4 linked regions of the Arabidopsis thaliana genome follow. The main gene of each other region encodes a partner of the protein of the gene in region 4 in a complex. Each region holds a gene or a part of one and is shown on either strand. Other genes may lie near its edges.

Region 1 (8,877 bases), 240 kb from region 4:
TACAAATGACACGTGGGACAAACTCTTTTAATGCAAATGTAACAGATGGACGGTAGATTCGTTCATTGCTTTTGCACAACGTATCAATGTAGTTATAGGTAGATGTGTGCAAAAAACACAAATATTGTTTATAAATAAAATTGAATTGTAAGTATATGTGTAATTTGAGTATCAATTGGGTGGGTGGGTCCTTCTTTGATTGTACGGTTCACGGTTCCATGTGGCTCACGAATGTTGTAATTGACGCTTTGGCCCATAACCATTTCTATCTTTTGATTTTTTTTGGGTCCCATTTCTAAGTTGATAACATGGCCAATAGTGTATTTGTTTTTGTTTTTTGGTCTTTGATACTAACTTTTAACTTTTCGGTAGTACAACTAATGTAAGGATTAGCAGCGAGAATCTGAACGAATCGTCTCGTGTCAAAATAAGATAAAAATAGTACAACTAATGTAAGGATTACGAAAGTGCTTATTTTGGCTCAATTCAACGGCAAATTTTAATTTGATTTTGCAGGTTTATACTACACCATCATCTATACATCTTTGTGTACTAAAAAACCAAACTAAATTTCAGGACAATTTATTGATAAAAGTTCTACTATCATTCTTAAATTTATACTATTATAAATCCGAAACTACCAAATTCAAATTAAAAGTTCGATACTGAAACTAAAAATTGCAAGAAGACAATTAACTGAAAACTTTAAAGTTAGAATTCAACCAAACACATTAATCAGACGACAAGTGAACAACTCAATTATTCAAGAACAACCGTGACCAATACGTCATATAGTCCAAGTAAACAAATGATATATATATTAAGATCATGTTAATTTTCATTGGCAAGGAATCCTGAACCTTTGAGAAATTATCCTTTCTGAATTTTATATATTGAGTAGATTAATTATCCCTTTCGTATTTTTTGTTTCCTGTGAAAGAAACACAATTATGATGGTTATCTCTCGAGATCAATTGGTTAAAATTGCAGCTCAAAAATGGAAATTACGAAAGAGTATGACAATTATTGGTGAGGTGATTTTTTTGGAATGAAGCTGTTAACGATTTGACTGAGGGAAAACTACAACAAAAAGTAATAAAGAAGGCTTGTTATGTCCAAAAGTAGTACTGTCCAGAAGCGGGGCCCATGGGATATGCCTATCAGAGTGGGCTTCCTGTGACCTCTCACACCACCACGTAGGACCTACGAGCCGAGTGCTCAACGGTGGAGAAAGAGAAGGGTCGTTGTCGTTGAGAAGTCTCCGTCTCTCCAGTTTCATTGTATTTGATTCGCATTTAGTGGGTGTGCTTTGTGCAGCCTCATTTTGGAATAGTGAAATTTGACTATAAACATGCGCAAATGAGCCACAACATATTTCAAACTACTTGGTACGCGGTCAATACAAATTCAACCACAATTTGCTCATTTCCTTGGCATGTAATCGATGTGGATATCACTAACCAGAGTTTTCTAAAAGAAAAACATATTGATCCCTAACATATGCTCCAGTGGAAAATGTAAAAACAAATACTCGAGTGTCATAATATATCTCTTTGTTCAGGTCATGCGAGGCACAATCAAACAGGTCTCGAAGGAGCATACGACTGACCAAAGTAAAAGTGGAGAGATATACAATAATGTTTCATAGGAATTGGAAGAAAACTGCGATTACAAATCTGAAGAATAAAAAGGGAAATGCTGACATCCTAATTTCCTTGTTTGAAGAGAATGGATGCAAGACCAGACCTCCATCCGAAATACGCTGTTGGCATAGGCCTTTTGTGTAAAAGTGATGCCAGTCCGGCTGATACCCCCTGACCAGGCAGCCTCACCAACTCCTGACTAGCAATCGGCTCAGCAAACCTGTTTTACAATCCCAAATAACTTTTTAAGTAAGTTACTCTCAACTCTGCGAAGGAAAACAAGTGCACATGCTTCATGCTTCTGTGTGATGTTCCACTATAATGTATTTTAGTAACTGTTCAACAGACTCTAAATAGATCCTCACTTTTCATTCAATGATTCTATAGGACAAAATTTGGGTAGTAAGTGATTCACAGTAGTCAATATACACTGTATTTAACCCGTCCAAAATCCGAATGAGACACCTAATTACTCAAAAGCGAAAACCAGATACAAGATTCACTTACAAAGGGGAAGGTGTAATTCCTTCATAAGCAAAGGAACTGAACCCTTGTCTTTGCTTGTGCTTAGGATTGGAAGAGCATATAACATACACACGTCCACGACGTTTCACTGTTTTACAAAACTCACACATCTTCTTCACAGATGATCTCACCTTCATTGCTTCTCACTCTGCAATTCACAACCGATCATTAACACAAAACTCATTAGATGAAAATGAAAGAGAACTCTTCAAAGTATTCAACTTTAAGATTCAAAACTAAGGATTGTATCCTCTAAACATATCATTTCTACTTAATCTACCAGAAAAACTGCAATCCTTAGTTGATCCGATGATGGAAGCAAAAGTAAAACGAATCTGAAGCATCCATCTCTAACTACACGGAATCACACAAGAGAAAACCCTATAATAGATCCAGATACGAAATCGAGTGATAATCAACGAGAACCCATCAAGCGAAGAACAAAAAAATACCTGCGAATTCAAAGGCGACTACGAAGAAGAGCAATCGATTCCCAAATGCAAATGAAAGGGTTTTACGGAGGAGTTTTGCACAGTCAGAGTACAACATATTTTGGGCTTTTAATGGGCTTTACCCGTAAAAATGATCCGGAATTTTTTTGACCCGGATTATTAGATCTAAATATCCGATTTGGAGCGTTGAAGCGATTTGGCCGGACTGTGTTACCGTCGACCTAGAAAATCTGAATTTTTGACCGGGAAGATTTTTTTCTGTACGATATGGATAGCGACATGGAAATCTCTCTCGACAGGCTTCCCATTAAACGATTGGAATCTATCGAAGAAAATGGCGCCGAGCGTTTTCCTTCGTAAGTGTTGTCTGGTGTTTGAGAAACGAGACAAAATCTTCCCAGATTGTTTTGCTTCTAAATTATTCCTTTTGTTTTTGACGTGTAGTGATGTTGATTACGATGATAAGAGAGTATCGCTGATTCGGAGAATAGACTTCGCGTGGGCGTTGGAAGAGGAAGATGAGCTGAAGAAGAAGAAGCAGAAGAAAAGCTCCAAGGATAGCGTGGAGCAATGGAAATGGAAGGGAATGGTTGAGAATTTGCAATTGGCTCATCAGGAGCTCACTGTCATCATTGACCTTATCGACACAGTGAGTGACTCTTGTTGATAATAGATAAGAATTTTGGGATATTCATAGCTCTTACAGTGTCTGTTTTATTGGTTTGAATGGAAGGAGCTGAAGTTTGGTTTCTGATATTTGAATAGAGAGTAAAACTTAAACAATTTATCTTCTGATTTTATCTTTGAAGGTCCAAGCAAATGATGCAGTAACAGTTGCTGGGATGACCAGACCTAAGCCGATGCCGAATGAGATTCTCTCGGATCTTGCTGTGTCTACTGCTACCAAGCTGCAGGGCTACCGGGTAATCAGTAGCTTACTTTCTTATGTGCAATTTAACTTTGCTTAAAGATGGAAGGATTCTTGTAATTGTTATTAGTTAGGCACTTTTTAGTATCCTGAGAAACTGTTGGAAACATTAACTTGGTTTCGTAAAGAGCTTTTTAACTATATAATTGTCTTTGGATGGTATGCTTATCTCACTTCTGAATATCTGTTTCCTCTGCAGAATTTAGGAAACTACTTTAAACAATCAGCAAAAGCTTTAGAGCAGAAAATCAATCGTGAAGCAAGGTTTTATGGTGCTCTTATCAGGTTCGAGTACTTGCTTTTCATTTAATGTCAGTGGCTATTTTCCTTAGTACTATTTTGCAACTTTTAAGAATTTGTTGTTTGCATTCTTGATACTAGTTTTAGGTAGCTTACAATGTCATAGCTATTTGTGTTGTGCACAGATAATTAGCGTCCGAATTTTGGATGTAGAGTTATTACGCACGTAGGTTTTGTAATATGTTATGACTTATGACTGATAAACGTGAAAGCATTTTATTATTCTTGTCTAATGTGAAAAAGTTCTAAATTTTGACTTCTACACCGTCTCTGTTACTGAACCTGCATAGTACAGTACTTCAGGAACATCCATTTTGTTGTGTAGTGACTGCTTAAGATTATGCCAACACAAATTAGAGAATTTCCGTTGAAATTGCTCATAATTTGTATAAAATGATAAGCTGACTTCAGCTTCCAAAATAGAGATTGATTTATACGTGCAAATGGTTATTTTTGCTATACTAACAAGCTTATAGGTTGCAGCGGAACTGGAAAGTCAAGCGACAACGCATGCTTGCTTCAAATGCCAGCAATGAGGGCTTCACCATTGATCTTTCTGACAGTTCATTATATGATCCGACTTCTGGTTTTCGCCCATCTACACTGTCCACTATTCGTGTAGATCATGATTCAGCTGGTATGCTGGCCATTAATGTACCCCAAGATTCATGGTACTCTCTTCGGTTTGGGTATGTTGGCTTAAATCCGATTGGCAACTCAAACGAATCTGATGAGCACATAGACTCGACTACTGGTCACGATATCCCTGGAACATCAGAGAAGTTGTCTGCAAGTGACGACAAATATGTTAAAGAAACTCATTCGCTACTGAGGGAGGTGCATAAATCAATTTTTGCTGAGCAGGTGGTATTTTTGTCATATATCTTGTAGTACGCTTGGTATATCTCTTCACGACTATTTCTCACTTCTTTGGTCTTCTTACCAGTTGTTTGACATGCTAAATCGTGAAGCATTCAATGAAGGTGTGGGATTCAACATAAGTGGACTACGAGAAAATTTTATGGAAATGAGCATCGGCCAAGGAGCTTCTCTGTTTGTGTCTCTCCACCCATCAGGCAAAAATCCCAGCATCAAGAAGTCGGAATCTGCAACCTTGCTCATTGAATCATCTGGCAGAGTAGAACCAGCAGAAGGAGGAGACTATCGCTTGAAGAAGCTAGGGTTCCCTAATCGCACCAGCTATGAAATATACTTGCAACAAATTTTTCACGAGCATGCCTTTGGAAAAGCTAAAGATCAGCTCAAGTCAAAAAGTATCAGAGCATCCAATCAAACAGAAAAGGACAGCAACTCCGGACTTCTTGACCATTTCTGCTTATCTTTGACTCATAGAATCTTCTCAAATAGAGTTCTTGTGCATCTTGAAAGCGTGGTATTTTCCCTGATGTGCTAAACTTTATTGAATGATCCTTCTCTATCAAGAAACTTGTTGTCATCTTTGATCATGCTTTAAAAAAAATGGTTACTTCCTCATTGAACAGGTCTGCAAGGTCCCGTATCTTCATCTGATATCTCATCCTACATGGAATTCTCGGACATCGTCATGGACTGTCTTCATGACTGTTCCTCCATCAATCATCCCCCAAGGAAGGTCTGAAACCCAGTCTCCTGATGGTAAGAGGAATCTTAAGACGCAGTTCCGGACAAAAGTGGTGGTGAAGGATGATTGTATTAGTGTTGAAGCGGAATGCACGCCCAATGTGGTTGGCTTACTCAAAAGCAGTTCCTGCAATCTATTCTCTATAAACAAATACGAGTGCGACGTGGCCGACCTTCCCGTGATGATTCTCCAACAGGTATGTTCTTTCGTTTCCTAAAGTTGATCATGTCTATAGCAACACGGTCCCTTAAACACGCGGTTTATTTATTTGAGAAGGTGGCGAGCCAGATAGTGTGTTGGCTACTGGAGGAAGCACGGACGGTAGGGACAAAAGCGAGCAGGGAATTTCTGTCACTATCGTTAGAGATAGTGGAAGGGGAGAGAGTGAGCCTGGTGGCGCATGTAAACCCGGAAGACGCAAAAGGATGCATCTCGTGGTGGCTAGTGATGGAGAATGGATGCACAGAGGAGAGGGAAGGAGTGTCGGAGAGTAGGAAGTTGTTGGGTCATTTGTCTCTGGATGTCTTGTACTCTGTTCTCATGGATTTGATCAACTTGTGTGGTACTGGTCGCAATGCTTTAGAGAGATTGTAAATGCTGAAAGACAAGTAGTGAACATGTTTAGTTCTTCAAGATTTGTAGATTACAATGGTTTAGTGAGACTCTAGTGTCTAGCCCAAACATCACTTTTTTGAATAGTTGGAAATGTGGATTTTATGGATTAAGGATTGATGATTATTATAAAACATCTTTATTTCAAATAATATTATCAATTTTTCTTTTTTAAAAAATCTTTGAAATCATAATGACTTTAGTACTTAAAGGAAGAAAGGGGTAGAATTGGAAATATGTAGAGAAAACGAGAATAACTCTGACGCGAACGTTTCTCTCCTCCGTCTCTCGATCCCTCTCTTGACGTCTCGCTGATCTGTTTTGCTAAGATTCAAGCTTCAAAACCCTAATTTCTCTAGCCATTAGCATCGATTTCAGCTCAACTTCAGGTTTGCTGTTCCCTTTTTTTGTATCATCCCATCCACCGATCGATATTTCTCAATTTTCTGATTTGCTGCTCTCTCGAGAGAGAGTCACCGTTATGGAGTTGGATTCACTATATGATCTGATAATTATGAAATTCACAGATGCTTCTATATATAGTAAATCTGATTTATTAGTGACGAATAGATGAACATATTCCCTTGATTATTCTTCTACAAATCTCGGTAGTGATAAATTGTTAGGTTTTGACGATAATTGTACTTGCTCAGTTTTTCATGTGTTTAGTTATGATTCTTCTTGGGCATGTCTGTGTCTTCGAATCGATTCTCATGTGATTCCCATTATTGTTTTTTTTCTTCTGGTTATTTCAGATTCAAGGAAACAATTATTAGCTTCTCAAGTGCTTCAGTGATCCGATACAATGGTAGTTATTGCCTTCTCTGTTCCATTGTTAAATTTTGTTAATTTCAGTGATTTTGAGCTAAGAGTTTTGTTTATCTTTGATAAATTCAGTCAGCTTTGTTCAATTTCCATTCGTTTCTGACGGTGGTGCTGCTTGTGATCTGCACATGCACATATCTGAAGATGCAGTTCCCTGCCATTTTAGAGCAGAAAACTGGGTTTGTACCTTCTTTGTTCTCCTTTTTCGTGAATTTTATTCTCAAAACCGATAACACTAACACATTTGGAGCTTTGACACCGGTTATTGTTTTCAAGCATTGTCTTTTGCCAAATTAAAGATGCTTTGTCAGATTTCTCTGCATATTGTTACTTTAGATTGCAAATGTTACTTCATCCTAGTGCTTTTTTTGTATTTATAGCTTGCATCTAATGCCCTCAGTCATCACTTTGTTCTATGCATATTAATGATAGAAATTGCTTGATTAATTACTATTGCAGGTTTCGAGGATTTTTCTGGAAGGCTGCTAGAATAGGTAGGCCTTTTCACCCCTTTGGAGCTCAGTTATCTCTTGTGATTTCAAAACCTTTCTAAAAACATTGTGTTGAACAATATTTCTTTGCATGTGTTCTATAGAAAGTAGTGATAGGCTTTCTAGGAGCAAGAACTCGTTACTAATCAATGCAGCTACTAACAATTGTACTATAAATTCAACTCATGAATACCAGATTCTAATGCTTTAAAACCCATGGTCGATCTCCTATTTAAGCATATGCATGATGGCATATAGTTAAGTCTATATCCTCCTACTTTTACTGCCATTTGTTTTCCATCGCCGAACATTCTGTTGCTTAACTTTGCTTTGTCATCACTTGTACCAGGTGAGCGTTTGAGCCCTTGGGTCTCCGCTGGATGCTTCATGATGGGTGTGTCGATCATTTTCTTTTGAGTGTCAACTTCTTACATATCCAGTTCTTGTAGATTTTTACTTCTTTGGGATGCTCATTTTTCTGTATGCAAAAGATTCCAAGGGGTTGTTGATGAAACTGAAAGAGTAGAATATTATCCTCTTTGGATTATGGATATGGTCTTGTATTTGGAACAAATTGTGTCTGTTATTTTAATGTGGAGACAAGTCCATAAAGCTCAACCATAGAAATTAGTAGAGCATAAGACACCAGAACCAGCTAATAAAACGCATCTTTGTCGTAAAGGAAGAGAGTAATCACATACGTAACTTCAAGTTTACTAATTTCATTGAACTAATGAGAGCATCAGTTAATAAAAGTTTGTTGTGTGTGTGGTAGCTGTAAAATTATCAGTCAATTTGGATAATCGATCAGTTTTATGCGAGCAAAAAGAACAAAGGTGAAGTCATGGTTACCCTTTTGGGCTTTAATCAAAATTTCGCCGACAAAAGAAGAAACTAAAAAACCAAACTCCCAAAGTCAAAACTAGTTCTGTCGGTTAAGGTTAGTTCACATGGGCCGAAGTATATCATCACCCAGGCCCATTAAAAAGATGTATAAAATCGACAAGCATATAAGTAACAGCGTAAGCCTAAGTTATCATTCAGAATATTCAAGCTGAGAAAGTCGTAGCCTCTAAAACCCTAATCCTCTCTGAAACCCTAGACATCGCAGCTGAAAATGGTACTTCTCTCTTCCTCTTTCTTCTTTTCGGTATTATCTTGCAGTGTTTTCGAAGGAATCTTACTCTTTGATTGTCTGATTTGGGTTTTAATTTGTTTTTGTTTTCGTTTCTTCTTGCAGACCGGAGAAGTCGTCAACCCTAAAGCGTATCCGCTTGCAGATTCTCAGTTATCGATAACAATTCTTGACCTCGTTCAACAAGCTACTAACTACAAGCAGCTCAAGAAGGGTGCTAATGAAGGTATCCGCTTGTTACTCATGTGTGTTTGTCTCTCTTATTTATTGAGTTTAATGTTTGTGAAGTTGTTCCTGATTTATTTAAATTTGTTCATTTCAGCTACGAAGACTCTTAATCGTGGA
Region 2 (9,562 bases), on a different chromosome or scaffold from region 4:
TTACTGCTTTGGGGTCACTCGGGAAGAGTGCCTAAGAGAGAAATCTCGCTAGAGTATTTTTGTTTTCTTCTTTCGTTGATGTATGGTTTTCTCTGGTTATAAATGGTTAACAGTATAGTTAACCGAATAAACCCAAAAATATGGGTTAATAAATGTTGAAGTATCAATTCAGGGAGTTTAGATAGAGATCTTTTGATTCATGGAGAAATAGATATAAAACTTTTTTTAGAAAAAGAGAAAAAATGTACAGACCTTCTAAAGACTATAAAGTTGTGCTATTATTTGGGATGCGAGAAAAAAAAATAGGAATCTACAGCATGATTGTTTCAATTTTGAGGCTATAGCTTTTTATTTTGCTTTATAAATCTCTTATCATGTCATGTAAATCAATAGGATACTTTCGAGAGCTTTTTTTTTTTTTCTTTTTTTTTTCTCTTACCCTTCTCGTTTCTTTAGAAACGATCATGCTCTAATCCAAATCGGATATTAATTTCAGTTTTTTTTTTTTTCTGTTTAATTAGGTTTATAAATTTTGCTTCGACGATATCAATAATTTTGATTTCGGACAAGACTTTTGATACCACTTTTATCAAGTTCTCTCTTGCCTTGCGAGTTTAGATCTCCATCTATTGGTGATTGTTGATGTCTTTGGTTTCTTCACAAATCCTCTATGTTCCCACCAATTAGTTCGACGAGTAATATCTATACCACTTCTTTATGCACACACATGAACAAAGATCCGGCCACATCAATATGGGTGTCGTCAGAGGTGGAGCTTCCCCGACGATAATGATACTTGAAGAATTTTTAAGCGACTTCCATCACTTGATCCGAAAGAATATCGACGATTTTTGGACATGGGTTCGAGATCGACAGAAGGAAAGACGATTCTCAACATTTTGGTGAATTCTAGCGGTTTCCCGCGAATTCAACAGCGGTGCTTGACGTCTCGGCCCGTGTCATAGGGCAAAACACTTCATCAACACGTTTCATCAGCAAAATCTTTATGAGTGGATGTTTAAATTACTAAGGATGATTTAGTTTTATAGGCTTGGCTTCATTTTCTGTAATCCTTTTTTAAAACTTATATTCCAACCTTTTGGGCTCTATAAATGAAACATGTAATAAGAAAAAACAATAAAATACTTTAAAATCTTTTTTAAAAAAAAGGCTTTGTGCCTAAATATTTCAAGATAATTTATTATACTATCGGTTTTGAAACAATTATAATTTCTTGTTAAAATATATACAATAAGAAGACATGAGCCACACCATACAAATAAATGTTACTTCTATCTCAAAGGAAATAAAAAAAAACCTAACTTGGGCTATAAGGCTTCCCACCTAAAAACTATCTTGTACGGTGAGTGAGAAAGGAAGTATTAGTCCTCATGAAGCTCTTAGAACCGTTTCCCAAGCACCATACTTGGAGCTGAAAGTGCCTCCACCATGTCTCTCTGCGTACTCAACCATTGTCGCTCTCGCACAATCATTCCACGTTTGAGCTATTCCTTTCGAAAACCCTGGTTCTGAAAATTCCTTCATGGACAAACTGAACCTTGATCTGGTTCTCGCGGATAGATCCTCATACTTGTGTACACTGAAACATGCAGATATAAATCCTTAAGATCATATATATTTACTCCAATCGTTGTTACTTGATTTCTAAGAAAGATTCATACCTAGTGTCAAAGGAGATTTCCTCGAGAACTATCGGAGAACTATACGGATAATCCATAGGAAATAGTAAGCGTAAAGGTTGAATCTGTGCCTGCATCAAACATTTAGAGACATAAAAAATCTGAGCAGAGTGAGGAAAAAGAAGAAGTTTGAAGTAACTTACAATTTTTCCAGACTTGTAATGATCTTTGAATGTGGCACTGAGAGCCACAGGAGCATAAGTACAAGTGACGATTGTTCCTAAAGAATCTTCATCACATATCTCTACCACTGTCTCTACAAGTCTCCCATTTGTTTCTTTGATTTCTTGCAAAAGGGCATAACCAGGCTACAAGATTGAAAAAATGGATTTATTTCGATGTTTCATTTGTTTTCGTAGTTCGATACCAATAGAGTAGATTTTACCGCAATATTGTTAACTTTCAAGCCAGATGATGTTGTGGAAACAACTTCAGATTCAAGGCTACTCAACTGTTCATAACTATCAATTTGTGATGACATATCTGGCGGCACAATGTTGATTGATCGCTTCATTCTCTTAGACAGATTTGTTTCTTCGTGTGTGGTAAAGTTTCTTGTCCTCTCACTCAAATCCTCGCCTAAACCAGCTCTAGATCCTCCACTAGAAGGGAACGATCCTCCAATCATGTCAACCATACTAATCACCGAGCTAATCTCACTTACAGATTCTGCCAATGATTTTGGTGATGCTGCTTGAAACTAGAAAGCCACACACATTAAAAATTAGGTCAGTAAATAGGAGAAGGTAAAGAAAGTAAACTTAGATAAGCTATAGAGTTTACTTACCGCTTTTATAAGTCGATCAATAGGCCGCTCTGTGATTGGCTCGGGCGGAGGAACAAATAACAGAGGAGTTTCTTGTGTGCCAAGTTTACTAGAAGAATCTAAAGTTGAGTTTATTTCATCAACACCAGAAACTGGAGACTCAACAGATATAGGCATTTCAGAATCTCCAGGAACTGGAGATGGAGCTGGAGCAACAAAAGCCGAACCACTAGAGTTCAATGGGGTTCCGGTTTTGTTAATCGTCGCAGGAAGAATATGCTGGTCAACTAACTGAGGAGAAGAGTGGTTCTGTATCTGAGAGGATGAAACGTTAGACTCTTGCTTTGGAACCTGGCGCTGACTCGATGAGACTTGTTGCTCAAGCAACCTGGCTTTAATGTTGACCCTCTCCCTCATCCTCACATCATTCATCTCATTTGTCTGCATTTGATGTTGATGATTCCCTTGTTGTGGTTGTTGTTGTTGCATTTGTCGGTGATGGAATCGCTTCTGCTTCTGCAACGACTGAACCGAACTGATATTTGTGTTTACGGCCCGAGGATTTTGTTTAACAGAAGGTAACATGACATTTCCTGAGGAAGCCATAATGATGTTCTCGTCTCTTGGATCCAACTTAGGCCTTATTTGCAACAAAGACGAGGCCTCATTTTGGCTACTTGGCATCAACCGTGATCTCCTTTGCTCCTTATAAAGAGACTGTGACACATGGACTTGAGGACTTTGGGTTTGCATTGCTGTTTGAGAAGGAGGAAATTGTCCTTGTTGTTGCTGCGTTGGCCTCAAAACCATGGTCTGACTCTTGGTAAATTTCAATATGTGGTACTCATATTGACTAAACTTGTCTCTATGTTTCTCTGATACACTGCTCCTATGAACATTTAAGAAAAACATAAGGTGTTCCATTGACAATTTTCCCGCCTTTAGCTTTTCAATCCACTGAGCTTGCATCGGTTGCGGCGGAAGAGATTCAGTCTGGAAACATTAGGTTTATTAAACCAAAAACAACACAAAGTTTTAGAAAAAAAAATGATTAAGAAAACCATTAGAACAAATTCTTGTTCCACAAGCAAAACAATTAGGTTATAAAATAAAGTACCTCCCGCAATTTTTCCGCAACTCTTTGGTGCATTAAACTGAGAACAGGTAAACACATCTCTTTCAGTTTTTTTATCTGCAGGACATATCAGAATGGGAATCAATTGAAAACAAAATCAAACCCTAATTGTGATGTTAAGAAGTGAAGAGCAAAGCAAGTGAAGATACCTTCTGATAGGTCTCCTCCTGCCAGTTTCCGGCATTGACATTTACCGTCTTTCCCGTAGAATCTTGAGATGCTACAATGATATTCATTATTAGAACTAAAAACATTATCACAAGAGTTAGTAAGAGAGGAAACATACTAGATGGATTTGCTCTCTCTAATTGTTGTGGCTGGTTCTGTTGATCTGTTATGTTTTGTGTTTGGCGCAACGAACTTGCTGCTTGAAATTGATTGGTATTGTTTTGTACAAAATCCAAATGTTTCTGTAAGTTTCTGTTCTGAGGATCCTGCTGCATGGGGTATTGTTGTCGGTATTGTTGTGACATCATTGGTTGAGATTGTCCTACTTGTTGACCTCTAGTCATACTTTGGAGGTTATTCTTCTGTTGAGACATTGCATGTAAGGTAACATTATTGTTCTGCTGAGACGAGGATACCTGAAAAGCTCCTTGTTGGTCTCTATTGTTTGGTCGTGATGTTGGAAGATTCGTCAGTTGATTAATGAGTTGCTCTTGTTCTTGTCGTTTCTGTTCTTGAGACGGCAGAACCATCTGTTGTTGATGACTAAAACTGACCCGTTGTATCGAAAACTGATTTCTGGTCAGTGATTGAGTGTTTTGTTAGCTTGATTGAGGAAAAGGCTGTTGAATAGGTTGTTTCAACAAACTTTGCGGATGATGTTGCGGCTGCGGTGACCGAGCTTGTTGTTGCATGTGCGAAGGTCGTAAATTACCATGGCGGATTTGATTCATTTGAGGCTGTTGCTGCTGAGGAAGAAGTTGTTGCCTACCATGTATCTGTCTTTGAGAACCGGGAACGGTTATAGGGACCTGACTTGGCAAAGCAGATGACACAGAGATTGCTCTGTGTGTTTTGCTGTAACCATTGTTGGCTCGTTGTAGTCTGCATATATGGCAACAAGGCGGGAAGAGATTGAGCTTGATTCACAACTACTTGAGAAGCTGATGTTTAGATAAACACATAGAAAAAAAAAGTTAGTTAGTGATTTCTTTGTTATTAAGCTAAAATAGTATAATTATGAAACCAAAAACTTATTACCTAGAACTCTAGTGTAAGTTCTCTGTATATAATGCAGTGTTTCACTGAGTTTCCTAAGGTAATCATTCTGAAACATAGCAAGGGGACAATGAGTAAGATATCAAATTCAGATTCTGAAGTTAATAGATGGAGAAACAATTTGTAGTTTAACACCTTATCGGTTGCTATGCTATAAAAATTTTCTTCAAATTTGGAAGCGATGTCGTTAATCTTATATTCTTCATGTGCATGAAACTTTTCCTTGAACTTTTCAACTCTACACATACATGAGAACAAAATATCAGTGACTATGAAGAATTTGGTTATAACTGATATTCAAGAGGAAGTGATACCATTTTAATTGCACTAAAAATACAAAACAGAGAAAATAATCCGTAGTTAATATTCGAACTTACGATAATCGTTTAGCGAACAAACACTGAAACAATTATACATATGTGCCAAGCAATTGTACATAGAAGCGAGAGTAAAACAAGATTCTCCTAGTGAGGAAGAGCCTAAATGCAGGTAATGAGGTTAAAAGAATATGCAAAACTTAAAGTACAAAAGGTTGAAGTTAGGTTTTGTCAACTATGATAAACATTTATGCACAACTCTTATGCTTTAACTGTTGCAATCTTTATCATGCGCAAACTACAAATATCACATCGAAAGCATGACCAAGAAAACCTTACTCTCTTTCATGAATGTTAATAATCAAATAAGAACAATGAGTCCAACAAAAGAAACATGAAACTCTTGAAAGAATGGCTTACATTTTTGAAAGAACCTTTTGCCGTAATTCAGGCTCATGTTGTGATCTCCAATCAATACGATTATTCGCAGCATCACGGTTTCCGCCTTGTTCATTAGGCTTCCAGTTAGTATTTCCCTCCATTAAGTTATGCGTCCTAACGGGGAGATGTATGTATAGGCTTTGACCAAGAACCGCCTCGCTAAACCTTAACAAACAAACAAAAGAATGATTAGAGAAATTACTCAACATGGTAACACAAAACAGATAAATATATAGTACAAGAAAACGACAAAAGAGTATTCAAAAATCAATATGCATATCACGCTAACAACCTATCGCATAATATCACACAACACGTATTATAATATTTGTTGGTGCAGGAATTAGCACCTCCGACAATACTAATTTAAACCGAGGAATAATGTGAATAAAATCGAGAATTCGATTGAACCGGGGTATCCCGGTTAGCCTGTTAATGGGCCTAAGTCATGAGATCGCCCGAAGACTTAAGTCGACAATCAAGATCGCCATAACCAACTTCTTAGGTCGTGTAAAGGGAAAACTTCCATTTAAGAGAAGAGGATCTCATGAAGAATAGAAGTAATGAAGATTTAAACCTAAGATAATTAGAAGTTTATCATATTTTGGTATATTCGACCTATTGTATAAATAGAGGGGTCAAACCCCCCATTGAGATCATCTTTAACCTAATACAAGAGACTACTATTACAGAGCAAACCCTAGCTTTTTGTTTAAGCAACCTAGTTCTTTTCCTTTGATTATTTGTGAGCTAAGAGAGGAGTGAATTTGTCTAAATCCCTTAGTACAAATTCATTGTTTGATTACTGAATCAACAATATTTAATATATAATCCTAACATTTTAACAATCAGCACCCAATGTCTAATCTTATACAAATGAAATTCAGAAATACAAAAGTAAAGGTGATACTATGTTTCCACAGATCCTACCCTCACCTTGGCAACTCGGTTGGATTTTAAGAAATAGGACTAGCAACAATGGATCCGGCTCAACAACGATCTCAAACTACAACAATTTAGATTAATCAATCAAGATTATATTCCCTTAATAATTTGTTATTTAATCTAATAACTAAACCAAGTCTAATAATTTAATATTAGTTGCTTAACACGTAATTGACTACGCCACATCCATTTACGTGACCAAATACTCCCCGGTTTAATAATTAAACCAACGCCACAATTCAAATCACGTACATGTCAATGCTACTTCTGGTTTGACAATTAACCCAACGCTTTCTAATAAGCCAATAACTGACTATATCGTCTTCTTCACTAACACAACCCAACTGACGCCATAACCGATCAACTCAAAAGGTTCCTTAATAATCAAGTTTCAATTCATGGCCGTAACTATACGTAATCCCTTGGTTTAGGTTGGTTCAATAATTAAACAACACAACACCTTAACATGAATACGAGAATAAGGTTTCACCGTTATCTCACTCTGCAACGAAGAAGTAGAGGATTCGGTATCACAGACCCAAACAAAGCACCAATGATAGATCTAGATTCCGGTGAAGAAGGAGGACGAAGAAGGCTAATAGTGGCTCAGATGGTGATGATTAGGGTTGGATGTTACGTGACGATAACTTCACGTCACCACTTAACACGATCGGGACCACAACCACAAACTACAACGATGGTGAACTCGATAGTGGAGGATGATGGTGACTTGAGAGTTGAGATCAAATTTCTATGATTTTGATAAGGTTAACATTGCGTGCTCGTAACATAAGCGGCGAGAGGAAGAAGACATTATATACATACGTACACACTTCTCACGTTTAGGTCTTGTTTTTAATGAAGATGGGCTTAATGAGAAATTGGGTCTTAGCTTTACCTCCTTTCGCCGTCTCCAGTCACGCCGAGACAGCTCCCTTTCATGCTTCTTCCGCCAGAATCCATCGCCGGATACATCTCGAAGATTGAATCAGAGTATTAAGGTAATTCACGACTATGAATCTTCTGGATTAGCGTCAGTGTATTGTTTATATCGATGTTTGCGACTATTTTTGGTTTAAGTTACTGGATTGGTGGTTTTTGAAGAAGCATCAATGTTTATAGGTTTCAGTTGTTTCAAGAACCATTGGATTCATTACTAGTAGTCTATGGTTTCATGATCAAGTAATTGTTGAAACATCGTAAATATCAAGTTTGTAGTAATTGTTCGAACTATCTATGTGAATTGTAGTTTTTTCTGTGTAGTTTACCTTGAGATTATCCACTGCTCTATACCTTGAAATTGAAATAGGCTTCACACTGAAGTTATAAGGACTTGGGGTACAAGAGTCGTTGGTTTGACTCTCCTTGTGATTGGTGCTATGAGAATCAAAGAAGCTTCTGAGATCCCATAACCATGTGTTGTTACTTTGCCACTAGGATTGTTTACGGCCTGCAACCGGAGGCTCTGATGATGGTACATATTTTGTCACCTGAAGACGTTACTAGTAATTATGTTCTTTGTGCTGCTTTTATTCATTAATTGCTTAAACTAAATGTTGTCGTTGCAAGATCTTTGTTCTTGTATGTTGGACAATGCCAATGTGCTATCGCTGAGTTGGATGCATTGGGTGATGAATTATACAAGGACAGTACCCTGATTATGAAGATTCTTAGAGACAATCTCACTTTCTGGACTTCAGATATGACTGTAAGCATCAACACAATATACATTGATCATTGTTCACTAAGTTCTGTAATTGACATGATTATAACTCTTTGGTCAATAGGACGAAGCAGGAGATGAGATCAAGGAGGCAGAACCAAAGGTCTTGTGCAAATGTCATTCTTGTTTCACTGTCTTGTCGGAACCAAAGCATAGTTAATTCATATTCTAGTACTCTCTTGATTAATAATAATTGGAAATGTATTATAGCGAGTAAAAGTAAACATGTGCAACCAAGAGTTGTTTCTTTTTGTGAATATGTTTTGTAAAACCATGTATTGTAACCAAACAAAAAGGATGTATGTATTGTTTTACAAAATTTGAATTTTTTTCTTAGAGAACCCCATTAGTGGTTTTAACCATTGGAGGACAAAAAACTTCAGAGCTCTTATGCAAGTTTTTAAGATTGAAAAAAGCTAATTTTATTCTTATAAAATGCAGAGAACCCATCATGGGGTTGTAACCATTGGAGATTCTCTTACAAATCATATATAGTCTTTTCTTTATTAAAATCGAATCACTATAAGCTTTTAGGAAACGTCAAATTGTCACTAATACTCGGCCCATTGTTGGGAATAAATCTGTATAAGTTTAGAATTGGGCTTGGCAATAGTCAAACGGCAATTCCAATTGTCCTTTTTTTCCTCTCGCACGAGTGTATTGATTTTTTTTTAACATATGAATTTATTATTTACTAGATATTGATAATTTCTTTAAAAAGTTAATTTTTTTAATTAATATTATTTATATATGAATAACATATTCAAAAGATACATTTTAGGTCTATAATTTTATTAAATAAAAAATTGATTTTTTGTCTTTAAAATGATTTATATATATAGGCTATTTTTTTTTAATGTATGATACACCTTGTGACGATTTTTATAACTAAAAGTTATATTTAATTTTAAATTGTACTTGTTGTGTTAATATTATTTATTTTGTTTAGTGTTTACAATTGTATAATTATATTTTGATAGTTAATTCTAGGGTTTCACCCATAGTATACCATTATATAATAATGGCGATCCAGACATGTCCCATGTAACCATGTCCAATGAAATTAATCATCATTTTATTATTTTCTTATAAAATTCAAATACTATAAATATTTGAAACTTCAAAAAAAAATTAATATTGATCTAAACTTTATAATTGTATATTGATTGTTATATCGAAGATTTCACCTGTAGAATATCATCCCATATTAATATCGACCCAAATCCGTCATACCATATAACCCCATCCTATGAAATTAAACATCATTTTGTCATAGTTTTATAAACTTCAAATATTTATAATAATAGAACT
Region 3 (6,761 bases), on a different chromosome or scaffold from region 4:
AGAGGGAAGGCTAGTTTGGCTGTTATGGCCACTGTCGCAGATTGCCAGGAGCTGCTAGAGAGATTTGCCGAGAAAACACCAAAAACAGAAGGTGGTTCGGTAAATGGAAGCAACGGCGATTCGGACGGTCCACTAGCTATGGAGACTTAAGCCCTCCCTTCTTCATAACTTCAAATTGTACTCCTTTGTTGTGGTTTGACTATTCCCTTACTACCTCCAAATTATTTTTCATATAAGCATAATCATGATGACTTTTGTTGGAACGACATAAAAAAAATGAAAGATTTTGTTCTAAAAATCAACGTACACTACACAAAACTCACTATCTAAAAACCAAATCAAAACAATATTTTTGAAGTATATGAAATGGTTTATTTTATTCTAAACTGTAATGGACCAAATCGAGAAGACTGACTTATTGAGCTGCAACACACGGTGGTCTTAGAAGACTGACTTGTGAGCTGCAAGACACGGTGGTCTTAGCGAGATTCTTCTTGTTCACCTTGTTGAAGATCTCAGTCAAGAGAGTGTTGAAAGAGTTCTCGACATTTGTGGAGTTTAGTGCTGAAGTCTCAAGGAAAAAAAGCCCTTCCTTCTCTGCAAATTCCTTGGCATCTTCCACAGGAACCGATCTCTGGTTCTCTAAATCCGTCTTGTTACCAATCAAGATGATGACAATGTTCTTATCCGCGTGCACTCGTAGTTCTTCCAACCACTGAGGAATGTGCTCAAAGCTTTCACGTATTGTCATATCGTAAACTAACATTGCACCAACAGCACCTTTGTAGTAGGCTTATGTAATAGCTCTGTGTCTACTCACAGCAAAAGAACAAGAATGTCACTAATCAAACCAACCACATTGCTATGTACAATGGAGAAAACATGCCATGCACAATGATTAGCCACTTGGATGTGAATGTGATCATCACTACATAATTTGATTCTTCAGGAGAATGCTATAACAACACATTACAATGTTGCCGAAGAACAAAATCGAACAATTCCAACACTAATGGTCCAACTTCTAAAAGAGTCGATTACTCTCTAGTCAAAATGAGGTCACTCTCAGGTACACACGAAGATCAAAATCGAAATTGAACAGCAACACTGTAACATCATCGAGTTCGAAGCAATATTTTATCCATTGTTAAATCAGAGAAGATAGAACTAAGATCGGAGAAGGATATAGTACCGTTTCTGGCCTGCGATGTCCCAGATCTGAGCTTTGATGTTCTTATCGTCAATAACGAGCGTTCGAGTATTGAAATCGACACCGAATTGTGGCTTTGGAATCCATACTGAATTCGTCTCTTGTGAACCGAGCTCGTAGCTGTGACTTCCCAACCGCTGAATCTCCGTTCAAAACAACCTTGAATACGTAGTCAACCTCTTCTTCAGCCATCTTCTTCTTCGCTCGCAGTCGGCGATCGAACGACGTCGATTTTCTCGCTGTTTTTACACTCTCCGGTGGACTGAGAGATTAAACTAATCGTAGGGTTAAAATGTAATCCTCTACGGTAGAGAGTACTAGAGTGTATGGTAGTCAAAGTCGTCATACGTGGATTTGATTAATGATTGCTACACGTGTATCGCATTGATAGGTTCTCTTGCTCGGATCACTAATACATAAACTTGGATACAACCCAAAGCTTGACCTATTTTTGTTGAACACCTTTTTGTTTTTATATTTTTCATCCTCTGAAACAAGTCCATAGACTCTTGTATTAATATATCCTGATGATATTTGGTTTTACATTTGCATCTTGTATCATTGTAAACAATTCATAAGCCTTCCCACAAAAGCATGCTTGGCATTTGACAATTGGCAATTCATAAATGATGCATTATAAGCATAAATATCAACTTGGATATTCAACTTGGCCCGTGTATTATGCTACCTCTACAAATTTGGTGAGGTAGGTTAAAATGAGGCCGGTTTGAGTTACCGGTATATTAGACGAGCATTAACATGATTACACACTTGAGGATATTATTGACGAATGAAGAAACTAAAATGGTTTAGTTAATGCAAAATTGAGGATTCATTCGTCTATTGAAATAGAGAAGAATTGTTTGAGGCTAAAATAAATATATTTACATTTTTCCTATTCTCCTCCAAACTTTTCGTAAACATGGTTATTTGACTTATTTTTGAACTTTTTATCTAATAATTTAAAGGATTGTGGTGATGTAGTGGCCACTTAATCTACACAACATCGCAATAATTTTGACAAAATTTTCTACATATTTCTTGTCAACAATTATAAGGAATTAACACATTCTACTTAGTAGACATTTACAGTAATCACAACCAAGATGAAATAACCATATATAAATATCATTTGCTATGTTCATAAACTTTATCGAAACTAGTTGACTTCTTAAAATGCCAACTAATTAGGTTAGGGTTCATGAACTTTTTAGCAAAGATAGCACAAACTAAATTCTATCTTCAACCTAACTAATGACGGTTTACTCCGGTTAACCGGTGGTTATGTTCTCATCATGCGGCCAACTAAGCTAATGGGCTATTTGGTGATCACTAATCAATGACCGAGATGCACTAGAGTTTTTATTATGATCGAGTTCCCAAAAAAGGGGCAACAAGAAAAAACGAAATGGCCTATACAGGGATCGAACCTGTGACCTTCGCGTTATTAGCACGACGCTCTAACCAACTGAGCTAATAGGCCATCTTGCTTTATCTACAGCTAACTACTATATAACAACTACACAAGTGATTCTAGTAACTAGCTAAAATTCTCCGGTGTTAAAAAATCTCAGATTCGCTCCCGAGGACGATTTAGGAAGCTTTCGTTAGTTTTTCCAATTTCGGATTTGGTCTTGTTGAGAATATATTTACGATTTTAATTGAGAGATTTTGTGATAGCTCAATGTCAATGGAGTGTGTGGTTCAAGGAATCATCGAGACACAGGTTCGTTTGTATTTTTTGATTGACGAACAAATCCCAAGTTTTTCGAGTTCATGGATCAGCTTTTAGCTTTCTTATGATGTCCAATTGATAAACCCTAGGCTTGAATTTTTATTAGAATTTGATTAGATTTTCTACTGGATTTTGCAGCATGTTGAAGCTCTTGAGATTCTTCTTCAAGGTCTTTGTGGTGTTCAACGCGAACGTTTAAGAGTTCATGAGTTATGCTTAAGAAGCGGCCCAAATCTTGGTAAAGCCAATTCCTTTTGTTAAATTCAGAAACTTGAAGCTTCCTATGAATCATACATGATTCACATTTGTGAAATCTTCACTTTTTCAGGAGTTGTGTCATCAGAAGTTAGGCTATTATGTGATCTTGATCAACCCGAACCCACATGGTACAGCTTCTTCTTGTTGTTGTTGTTGTTGTATATGTTCTTGTTTCATTCAAAGGAAGCTAATTTAAGAACCATAGGACGGTTAAACATGTTGGTGGTGCGATGAGAGGTGCAGGAGCTGATCAAATCTCTGTTTTGGTTAGAAATATGATTGAAAGTAAAGTAAGCAAGAATGCTTTGCGTATGTTCTATGCACTCGGTTACAAACTAGACCATGAGCTTCTCAAAGTCGGATTCGCCTTTCATTTCCAACGGACTGCGCACATAAGTGTTTCTGTATCTTCTGTTAATAAGATGCCTAAAGTTCATGCTATAGATGAGGCTGTTCCTGTAACACCTGGTATGCAGATTGTTGATGTAACTGCTCCTGCAACTTCTGAGAATTACAGTGAAGTCGCTGCTGCTGTTTCATCTTTCTGTGAATTTCTTGCTCCGTAAGTTCATCTGATATATTTTACAGCACCTGTGATAGTGTCTTTGATATAAGCTTCATCAGTGATATGATTCCTTGTGTTTTCAGGCTTGTTCACTTGTCGAAACCGTCTATCTCCACGGGGGTTGTGCCAACCGCTGCTGCGGCGGCTGCATCTCTTATGTCGGATGGAGGAGGTACTACATTGTAAGAAGTTTGAAGTTAAAAACAACTGTTCTTGTGTTCTCTCTTGTTAGATCTTTTGGTCCAATCTAGTCAATTTTCCAGATTACACAATGGTTGTGAAATCTTGTGAACCATTAGAGTTAAGTATTATTTAATGAGAATCAGTAAGGGATCTTTAATAAATATTCTTTATAAATCACAACTTGCATATGATCTTTGCTCTTCTCTCAACCTTTTGGTATTATGATGTTTCATTGTTGTCACTTGTCAGTAGATTGATAGTTTATGAAGCTTCGAACATGATTAAAATAATGTGAATGTCTTTGTGGAATTACATACTATTTTATTTATCATTCAATCACTAATAAATTCCAATTTGAAAGCCTATTAAAACCTAACATATTAAAAATTTGAACCACAAAAAAATGAATTCTAAAATTCTTCCATTTCCACAACAATAATCATCTTCCTCCACTTGCTTCTTCTTTTTTCAAGAGCCATTCTAAATATCACAAGCCAGAGTAGAAAAATGTATATGTATAGAGAGATTCATAATTTCAATGTCAAAATTTTCGTGTTTCTAATCATCTACTGGTGCTATTAGCAGTCTTGTTCTTGCTCATATCAGCAAGCTCTTCAATAAGTTTTTTCTCCTCTTTGCTCAATCTCTTAGGTATCTCCACTTGTACTCTCACCAACTGATCTCCTCTCATATTACTCTTGTTCAATACCGGAACTCCTTTTTTCGCCATCACAAGCGTCGTGCTAGGTTGTGTCCCAGCTGGAACTTTCAAATCTACTGTCCCATCCACTGTTGGTACTTTCAGTGTCGTCCCTAAAATCGCATCGATATACGATATCTTGCAAGTGTAGAGAATATTTGTATCGTCTCGTTTCAAAATCGGGTCTGGGATAACTTCTATAACAACAAACAGATCGCCTGGTGATCCGCCTCTCTTCCCGGCATTGCCTTCTCCTCTCACTCTCAACCGGCTACCTGAATCAACCCCGGCTGGTACTTTGAGACTTATCCGTTTTGTCTTCCTCACGCGTCCGTCTCCAGAGCAAGTACCACACGGCGTCGAGATCTCTCCAGTGCCATTACAGGACGAGCAAGTCATGACTTGTTGGAACACGCCCAGAGGAGTTCTAGCTGCTGAAACCACTTGGCCTTGTCCGCCACACGTGGTGCATTTGGTCGGTTTGGTTCCAGGTTTTGCACCTGAACCTTCACATGTCCCACAGCTCTCGAGCCGGGATATCTCTATTTCTTTCTCCATTCCGAAAACCGCTTCTTTGAAGTTTAAGATTAGCGTGTAATACTCGTCTTGACCATCCACAGCTCTGCTTCTTGAACCTCTACCCATCCCACCACCGAAGCCTTCGAATAATGAGTCGAATAGATCGAACGGATTACTAAAATCCTAATGAAATTTAATAACAAAAAACCAAACCAAGAAGTGATCAGAGAGTTAACTTCGAGTGTCTATAAAGAATAAATCTGTGCATCTGTGTTTTGAACAACGTACCCCATTGCCAAATCCAGCAGCGCCTTTAAGTCCGGCCTCACCATACCTATCGTAAAGAGATTTCTTTTCATCATCTGATAAAACCTGCAATTTTGTTCTTTAGTCACTAAAAGTACGAACTTGCATAGTAGAAACAAAGGAGAAACTGGGTTTCATTTCACCTCATATGCGTTACTTATTTCTTTGAATTTCTCTTCTGCGCCAGGATCCCTGTAAGCACATAATAAACATGTAAACAAGACGGTAACACTTTTCTAACTTAGAAGTGTCAGTCTTGAAAGGAAAAAAGCGGTTTCTGAGCATTTCATATTTCCCGGTCTGTATTTTGCTAAGGGCTATGAGTTCTTAAAATAACTGGTTTCCCTAATTTGGGGAACAACATAATCCAAGGTTTGCAGTCATCTTGTTTTTGGCATATCTAACATTTGGCTAACAGATATTAAGCTTCTTATCTCTACTTGACTGTCGATCCTATCTTCTTATTCTCAAGATATACATCCACTATCGTCATCAAGTGAAGTTTTTCACTTACTTGTTCACATCCGGATGGTAATTCCTAGCCAGCTTCCGATAAGCTGAAACAAGAGCAAGGAAGAGCGAATCAATGTCATACCAAAAAGTACCAAGTCAAGAAAAAAAAAGAAACGCCAAGCAAAGAATTCACATCACGGGTTTGATCATGCATTTTAACATATGCAAACCATCTATATATACAAGGGAATCTCTCACACACAGAAAAACAGAAACATACCGCTTTTAATCTCAGCTTTGGTTGCATTTTTCGAAACTCCGAGTACCGAATAGTAATCCTAGAATTGCACACAATCACACAAAAAGCAATCAAGATCATAATAAATAGTGAAGCTGAGATATACGCATTCAGCAAAGGGAAGAAAATAGGAACACGTACTGCATCAGCTCTAACAGTGAAGCGAGATCCTCTGCGAGGAGGATGCATATTTCTGGACATTCCCGTCATGGACAAGAAGGGCAATGACCCATGTGAGAACATACTCGACTTTGAAGCTCCCAAACAATTTACTTGGCTACTGGAACTGTAAAAGTTGTGAAAAGGAAAACCTTTAATGCTATTTCATATATAAAACTCTCAGTGTAGAAATCACATAATACAAACTTCATTCTACGAAGACTAATCTTAAGATGTGCAATGTGAACAAATCAAAATACTTGAAAGGCTTAAAGCCACAGAACTGAATGCAATCCAGAGACTTAAAAATCATACTTTTGATGGCGAGTTGATTCGATTCTGCTGGGATAATAAGCTCTGACTGCAAATTGAGGA
Region 4 (7,297 bases):
ATTCATATATTACAAATTCTTAGTACAGTTTCTAATTATCTTGTCATTTTCGATTTAGATGGAAATTCGATCAGATCTGATGGATTCTCATATATATGCCTTCAAGAGGTTGGTCAGATCTGCTTTCCTGCTATCAAAGTAGTTTTATCTGTCGATACTCAATATGTTCTTTTGTCTTACAGAGCAGTTCTGCAGGAAGTTTTGGATCAAAAACCTGCTTTTAGGAGCCTAAAACAGGATGTACTACCGTATCTTGTTCGTACACAGCTGGTTAGTCGGATACGGTCCTTGCAAATGACCATTTTTTTTTTATTACCATTTTGATTCCTTATTTGTGCGGTTTCCCCTTGAGTATCAGAGATCAGATGTCTTCTCTGACCAAAGTAATGTAGAAGAAAATGGGAATGGAAATGGAAAAAATAATATGCAGAACAACGAGGTGGTCTTGTCTCAAATTCTCTCCAACGCATCCATGCCAAGCTTTCATCAAGTCTATGAATCAGGTCTGGGTACCCGGAAAACCCATAAATGCTGTGTTTATATAGCGGATGAAAGTAAGTATTTCGTCCGCTTGAATAGCATTCAAGCCTTCATGGACGTAAACAGAGATGTAAGTTGTTTACACATGGGATTCCTTCTCCAGTATTTTTTTCTCAGTTGACTTATGAAGCTCCGCAATTGTTCAAACTTGTGCAGGTTATTGGTGAATCAAACCACCTATCTGGATACTCCTTTTCTGCTCATCACAACATTGTCCACCCATCAGCTGAGCTTGGATCGAAAACCACAGTACGTAACTCTACATGTGTAGATATTGAGCATTTGTTCTGTGAGTTGTGATCGTGAATAACAATTTTTGGGTTGCAGGTTGGACCTCATTGTATGCTTGGAGAAGGCTCTCAAGTCGGTGATAAATGCAGTGTCAAAAGATCTGTAATTGGGAGACATTGCCGGATAGGCTCCAATGTGAAGGTAATAATTAGCTTTTTACTCAAGCCAGCCAAAGAAAGGTGGTGTACATCTCGAAAAGACACTCAACTGCTTGTATATGTGGGTGCAGATTGTTAATTCAGTTGTGATGGACCATGCCACAATTGGAGACGGATGTTCAATACAAGGCTCAGTCATTTGCAGCAACGCACAGCTTCAAGAGCGTGTTACTCTAAGAGACTGCCAAGTACGTTACCCCCTTCAGTTTTCATAATACAGTGTCCCCTACGTATCAATGCTTTTACAGATTCCATAATCAAAACATCAATTGGTTTTATAGGTGGAAGCAGGGTATGTTGTTTGTGCCGGGAGTGAGCACAAAGGAGAGACCTTTGCTAGAAAATGAAAAGGAAGGATAAGCAAATGAGGTCACATCTTGGAACGCTTTTTTAAAATGAAAAGCAGCATTACTTAGTCATTCGTTTGGTAGGAGAGAAGAGTGTGAAGGATTGGAAAGTTTCCCACTAAGGGTTTTGTTGATTAAGAGTTTGAGATTTTCCGTTAGTATCTTTTACTGATAGAGTTTGATCTTTTGCTATTCATTACATATACATGAAGTCTTGAAACACTTTGTCAGCCACTGACCCTTCTCTCTGTTCCGTTGGTTATATTACATATGTCTTTTTTTGTTCTTCTCATTATTTACTCTTTTGTTCGAGATAAAACACTTTCCTGAAAGATCTAAATTTTGTTTTTGGTATTTCCATAGAGACGAATACACCCAAAAAGTCACATGCCTTCAGATTCGATAAATTTCAGAGTAAATGATTTCGAATGTATGAAACCTTTCTGTTTAAATAGTCACGAGAATAGATAAACTTCATAGCTTGTTTAAAGTGTAACAAAATGTACAAGTTGTGATTCTTCTTGGCGAACTTTTCGTTGCTTAACCCCTCCTAACTTCTCCCACAATGCAATTTTTATTTAGAGATTAAACCTGCAAAACCAAATCCAAATCATTTTATGTTATGTTGAGACAAATCTACACCATATAGAAACATTTCTAATTATTTGAGACTCCAAAATAAAGTTAGTGCACTCTCGGTCGCTAGAGTTCCAGGTTATCTTCTTATAAGCCTTAGACAATAATTATTTCTTCATGTTTAAAACAACCATAGCTTTGTTGACTCAATCATATTCATCATGTACAGTACCGTTGGTTATGACAGACGCAGCCCCATATGAGAAACGTGCGTTATCTAAAGATGAGAAGATGACTCTAGTGACCGAGTTACCTAACAAAGTTAGCTGCTTCTAAGCCTCTCCATGACACCTTGGGTGTGCAATACAAAAATGAAAGTGTGCACGGCTTCAGCCTCCAACCTACATCGCTCCCATCTCATCAAGCTTTGAGCTCTTATGCTGCAAAAAAGTTAATTTTAGGGCCGACAAAAATAAAATTTGCAGAGCAACACCAATGTGCGAGTAACCAGAAACTTCTAAATTCAGCTTCACTAAAAAGAAGGAGATGCCTCCATTGCCATTAGTATATTACCTTACTCTTTTTGTGCCTCTGAACGTCATCAGCATCTTCAGTCCCATTGTTCTTCCTTTTCTGAAAGTAAAGTGATAGCGTATACCACGTCAATTCTATCGAATTTAAGAATCCAAAATATACATATATAGACGGCCTAGGTACCAACAAGAGCAGACAGTTTTATAACCTTATCATGGTGTCCACTTTTTTCCTTCTTTTTGTCTCGATCCTTGTCTTTATCCTTATCTTTGATCCTATCTTTATGCTTGTGCTTGTGCTTCTTATGTTCCCTATCTTTCTCCTTCTTGTCTTTATGTTTTCTATGTTTCCTATCCTTATCTTTTGACTCACTTTTTGATTTTGATACAGTGGTAGGAGCTCCCTTCTCTGCCTGAAATAAGAACAGGAGATCTCATATTCTCAAACCTAGCTCAACTATCATCACAAGATACTTGGAAGTAATTCAACTTATCATGGTTAGTAAAAGATCTAGATGTTACAGGAAGTTAAAATCTAAACAGAGAGAGCAATATTCTTACTGGAGGCAATTCAACAGGAGCTGTATCATTAAGCTCAAAAGCCTCCTTAAGTTCATCAAGAACAAAAGGTTGGATGCGAGCATTCGTATCTCGGCTACTAAGTGATGCATTAGGAATAAGCTGATCTAATTGCATTCCTTCTCCTTTTCTAATCTCTGTGTCTCCAACCAAATTATGAAGATAATGAGCATCTGACAGTGACTCTGGAAGTGATCTCTTGCAAAAGAATTCATGGTGTGGCAACAACTTGTATTGTGTTATAAGATCTAGTGCACCACCCAATTCTCTAGGACCTGCACTTAGAAACCCAGAAGCTCATTGACCCTCAAATCCCAAAATAATAAAACTTGACAAAAATCAAAGCTTGGAAACCAAATTTACCTCCAAACTTAACGCTCTCTGATTCCATATTTTTTTGTTGTTGTTGATTAAACTGCAATTATTGGAATTTGAAAACCAAACAAGCCAAAGCTCAATAAGCTCAAGATTTGACGAAAAGCGAAAACAAAGCTGAAGCAAAGATCAATCACCGCCATACATGACTTCACGAGGCAGATCTCATCGCAACCCAGAGATATAAACCCTAATCTGGAAAACGGATTGCTCTTGGTCGTGAATTTCCCGCGGGAATATCGAGGAACGTTCGAGAAGGAAGTAACTAGGGTTTGAGAATGGATTAGGAGTTTCCTCAAACAATGGCGTTATAAAATCGCGATTTCTTTTTCTTCTTCTTCTGTTTTTTTTTCGTCCAAAATTTTGTTATTTATACGGGTTACCGCGTGGGGTTCACGCGCTTCATAGTGCGTATGATCAACTTTACAGATTTCACAACGACTTTTTTTACATTTGTATTTTTATTTTAATAAAAATTTCAATTTTCTTATAATTTGCATTTTTAATCACATAGTTAAAAAAAAAAAAAAATGCTAATATAGCCGTCAAATAATTTTTGTTGCAATCGTCAATAGCCACCGATTAAGACGGTGGTCAACTTGTTAGTGGATATGGCCACGATTAGGTGGTGGCACTCAGTTGCAAGATAGCCACTGTTTTTCATATGGTCATATGTATGTGTATTTGTGGCCAAATAATTAAGACCAATTTGCTAAGGCCAAAAAGTGATTCGTTTAGTCATTGCTATTGTTCGGATCCTTTATATTGAAGTTGGAGAATGATTAACCAAAGCTAAAATCACCCAAATGGCCAAATCGTACCAGCAATCAATGCATGATTTCTTAACTCTTGTTTCTAAAACTATGATCATCCGACAATTCTCAATTTATCGAAGATTAGTTAAATGGATTCTGCATCTGACGGTTTGGTTAAGTCATGTTTTATTTTGTTCTCGTATGATGTAGGAAGAAGTCAAAATGTATCACAACACAACACAACCAGGGGTATCTTAATAGATGATGCACATAGAACAGAACGTTTTTTTTTTTTGTGTGTGATAAAGAAGATTACAGAAACGTTACACTACTGTCTTTACACACTTGAGACATATTTGCTATATCGCTGAAGAGAGAAAGATTCCGACTTTGTAGAAGAACAAAGCCCTAGTTTGGCCTTATACAACAATTAATGTAGGTCAAGATCCTCTTCTTCTTCTGCATGGTAATTAAATTAGTAATGTTAGAGAGACTTATGACGGTGACAACATGCTTCCTCTTAATACATTTCACATATTGCATAATGCTTCGTATAACAAGGTGATTTCGACTGTTATACAAACTAGAGATGGAGTTTTCATATTCGCTCTAGAAAAGCAGTGTACATTTCGTTCATGTTTGCCTCTTCAAAGTTTGGAGGCTCCAAGCAAAACAAATTTATGTAACTCCCAACATATAGTTAAAACATAATGCAAAGATTATAATATGATTCAGACTTTTAGTTGGTTTAATTATATTTTTATCTAACAATAGAAGTAATGAAATTTAGCTTAGGTGGGAATATAATGTTAAAATATGGTTGCTTATTGAAATGTTATGGAAAAAATGCAAAAAAAAAAACAAAGTTTTCCTAACAAATAAAAAGAAAGTAGAAAATGGGAAAATGGAAACGAACTATAAATTCATTGTTCGAACAAAACACATCATTTCAAAACCATGGAAACAAACTGCAAGCCAATACACTATAACATCAAATTTAAAGATACACTATCATTACATATTCATAAATGAGACCTGATACTATGATGCATGTATTAACTCATAATTAAGTTGAATAACATTCATGGTTCAATTATGTCTCTGAGTTAAGAAAGAAATGGAATGAAATATTCTTTTTAGGCGCATGCAAAAACACAAAACAAACAAAAGACGCAAAGAGAAAATCAATTCCTGAATTGTTATACCACCTTGTGATGATCCATGCGCGTTGACTAAGGGGAAAAGGATCATCACAAGGTGAATATGAACCAAAGAATCCATGGAAGAGTAAGTAGAGAGAGATAATTTAATTACCATGACAGGGTCATCGTCTTGAGTTTCATGGCGATGGTGAAGTTGTTGGTGGTTGCGACGAACACTTACCATGAGTTCTTGTTCGCTTCCCAAACTAGAATGTCTTACACCAGCTTTGTTCTGCTTCCTGTTTGCGCGAGCTTTAGAAAAGACAACCGAGTAGTTTGTAGCATCATTTGGTCCTTTTTGGTCCCACCCTCCGAACTGTGGAACTGGAGTCCATGCAGCATTCTGTATCCAAGAATAAAACTCGTTAGATAAACATATAATTTGCTTAGGGAACCAAATATTTCCGGAAAAAAAAAAAAGAACAATGAGATCGATGTTGAGATTGCATCGGTTAATTTTCCCCATTCTATAAAACGCGCATTAACCGATGAAAGCTCAACATGTCTCGATTGTAACTCAGACATCATAAAGATCGATGATTTAGTAATAGTTGGATAAAAGAAAAGAAACAAGATTTTATAAAAAAATTAGAGAGCATGCCTCCCTTCTTTTATCCATAAATAGATATTGCTTGGTTTAGAAGAAAGATGTTCTTAAACATTGATGAAGGTGTTCATGACGAGGAGGAGAACGATCTCTCTTGTAAAATTCCACTTTTTCCTTTATAGTACAAATTGTTTGAAATCACGATTTCATAGGAGCAGATTTAGGAGGTTTCTAAACTTGGAGGATCTCAAGCAATGGTGTTCCTTTATGTCCGGGGGATTTTTTAATACTAACTTTTGGCATCCTATTGGAAAAGGCTGTTAGGGGTCATGAAGACTTCTAAGCAAGTAGAAAGTTGTTGAGGTTGAAATGTCAATCTTAGTGTACTTTCATCATATCGTTACAAGAATTCGAATGGATAACGATGAAAATAATTAGTGTTTGCTTCACACAATTGGATTAGCTTTCTGATGCTAAAAATCAATAACTCTGTTTGAAGAGAACAATTAAATTGTGAACTTGTTTTGCTCATTTGTATAAATGAAGTTTTATAACTTCCTTGATTGGTATATATATGTTCATGAAGGCACATGAAGACTCTGAATATTATATACATGCATGAGTCTTATTACATAGTCAGAGTATCTAATATTAATTTATTAGAGAGTGAGCTTTTTCTTTAAAACATTAGATAGAAAGTAACGTCCTTATGAGCAATCTCCATTCCTCAGGCGTCGGTATAGATCCAAGTAACCCGGTGACTCTGGTCTGATTAACCTGCATAGACAAAATGGAACAGAATGTATTGCCAAAGGGAATTGGAGATTGCTCATAAGGATGTTACTATCCGCGGCGAGAGCATAAAAGTCCCGCAATATATAATGGTAAGTAACATGTTTCTTCTGAGGTAGAAATTTTGGGAGAAAAGAGTGAGTACCCGTGCCGAAACAAGAAGTCAATAATGACCAGGGAACAACTGTCCTTAAAAAAACTAGTCTTCCGAACCACATTAGCAACTTGAGCGACTGGAATCAACCTGAAGCTGTCAACTTCTCCATCTGCAATGTAATTAAGATTACTATGCTATGACAAAGTATATCTACCTGTCTATCTGAGCAAGATTACTGATTGCTTTACTAGTTATTGCCTAACCTTGATTTGTGGGAACAAAATCTTGAGGGAGTTCCAAATCATAACAAAACAGCACATCACGTGTGAAACAGTACCGATCGATATCCATGTAGGAAACAACACCGACCGCAATCGCCCTTTAAGAATACACAAAAATGCAAGAGGTTGGAAAATATCAAGAGAGCTATATAGGTACTACTTTGTTAAATACTGAGCAGAATGTACACATACACTTGGGTGAATCAAATAATGTGGCATCCACC

Evidence for each region.
Region 1: AT5G19480 (region 4) and AT5G20170 share a complex: the UniProt entries of both Arabidopsis thaliana proteins name them as parts of the mediator complex.
Region 2: AT5G19480 (region 4) and AT2G10440 share a complex: the UniProt entries of both Arabidopsis thaliana proteins name them as parts of the mediator complex.
Region 3: AT5G19480 (region 4) and AT2G22370 share a complex: the UniProt entries of both Arabidopsis thaliana proteins name them as parts of the mediator complex.

The regions. Positions count from the first base shown.
Region 1 is NC_003076.8:6,804,740-6,813,616, reverse strand, and holds AT5G20170 (RNA polymerase II transcription mediator), read left to right. Parts: upstream 1-2,697; 5' UTR 2,698-2,887; coding exon 2,888-2,976; intron 2,977-3,064; coding exon 3,065-3,269; intron 3,270-3,429; coding exon 3,430-3,543; intron 3,544-3,747; coding exon 3,748-3,833; intron 3,834-4,324; coding exon 4,325-4,712; intron 4,713-4,794; coding exon 4,795-5,241; intron 5,242-5,350; coding exon 5,351-5,665; intron 5,666-5,745; coding exon 5,746-6,063; 3' UTR 6,064-6,242; downstream 6,243-8,877. Other genes in the region: AT5G20180 (Ribosomal protein L36), read right to left, coding at 1,707-1,863, 2,151-2,305; AT5G20165 (kish-A-like protein), read left to right, coding at 6,887-6,889, 6,979-7,085, 7,183-7,251, 7,366-7,400, 7,594-7,655; AT5G20160 (Ribosomal protein L7Ae/L30e/S12e/Gadd45 family protein), read left to right, coding at 8,515-8,517, 8,638-8,877. UniProt on the Arabidopsis thaliana protein: Component of the Mediator complex, a coactivator involved in the regulated transcription of nearly all RNA polymerase II-dependent genes.
Region 2 is NC_003071.7:4,012,363-4,021,924, forward strand, and holds AT2G10440 (mediator of RNA polymerase II transcription subunit), read right to left. Parts: upstream 5,685-9,562; coding exon 5,563-5,684; intron 5,226-5,562; coding exon of another isoform or gene 5,199-5,225; intron 5,064-5,198; coding exon 4,961-5,063; intron 4,875-4,960; coding exon of another isoform or gene 4,808-4,874; intron 4,711-4,807; coding exon of another isoform or gene 4,652-4,710; coding exon 4,539-4,651; intron 4,449-4,538; coding exon 4,324-4,448; intron 4,281-4,323; coding exon 3,888-4,280; intron 3,846-3,887; coding exon 3,751-3,845; intron 3,659-3,750; coding exon 3,584-3,658; intron 3,460-3,583; coding exon 2,488-3,459; intron 2,401-2,487; coding exon 2,086-2,400; intron 2,009-2,085; coding exon 1,844-2,008; intron 1,802-1,843; coding exon 1,683-1,801; intron 1,601-1,682; coding exon 1,390-1,600; downstream 1-1,389. Other genes in the region: AT2G10450 (14-3-3 family protein), read left to right, coding at 7,943-8,002, 8,144-8,236, 8,316-8,411. UniProt on the Arabidopsis thaliana protein: Component of the Mediator complex, a coactivator involved in the regulated transcription of nearly all RNA polymerase II-dependent genes.
Region 3 is NC_003071.7:9,498,212-9,504,972, reverse strand, and holds AT2G22370 (mediator of RNA polymerase II transcription subunit), read left to right. Parts: upstream 1-2,762; 5' UTR 2,763-2,894; coding exon 2,895-2,936; intron 2,937-3,083; coding exon 3,084-3,183; intron 3,184-3,273; coding exon 3,274-3,331; intron 3,332-3,408; coding exon 3,409-3,765; intron 3,766-3,851; coding exon 3,852-3,954; 3' UTR 3,955-4,189; downstream 4,190-6,761. Other genes in the region: AT2G22400 (S-adenosyl-L-methionine-dependent methyltransferases superfamily protein), read left to right, coding at 1-150; AT2G22360 (DNAJ heat shock family protein), read right to left, coding at 4,514-5,353, 5,459-5,542, 5,620-5,668, 5,991-6,033, 6,210-6,267, 6,369-6,513, 6,702-6,761. UniProt on the Arabidopsis thaliana protein: Component of the Mediator complex, a coactivator involved in the regulated transcription of nearly all RNA polymerase II-dependent genes.
Region 4 is NC_003076.8:6,567,946-6,575,242, reverse strand, and holds AT5G19480 (mediator of RNA polymerase II transcription subunit), read right to left. Parts: upstream 3,743-7,297; 5' UTR 3,416-3,742; coding exon 3,388-3,415; intron 3,300-3,387; coding exon 3,007-3,299; intron 2,859-3,006; coding exon 2,655-2,858; intron 2,546-2,654; coding exon 2,486-2,545; intron 2,353-2,485; coding exon 2,314-2,352; 3' UTR 1,620-2,313; downstream 1-1,619. Other genes in the region: AT5G19485 (transferases/nucleotidyltransferase), read left to right, coding at 59-108, 183-270, 359-610, 697-789, 868-972, 1,061-1,177, 1,271-1,336; AT5G19473 (RPM1-interacting protein 4 (RIN4) family protein), read right to left, coding at 4,563-4,613, 5,469-5,822; NUDT24 (nudix hydrolase homolog 24), read right to left, coding at 6,747-6,961, 7,056-7,171. UniProt on the Arabidopsis thaliana protein: Component of the Mediator complex, a coactivator involved in the regulated transcription of nearly all RNA polymerase II-dependent genes.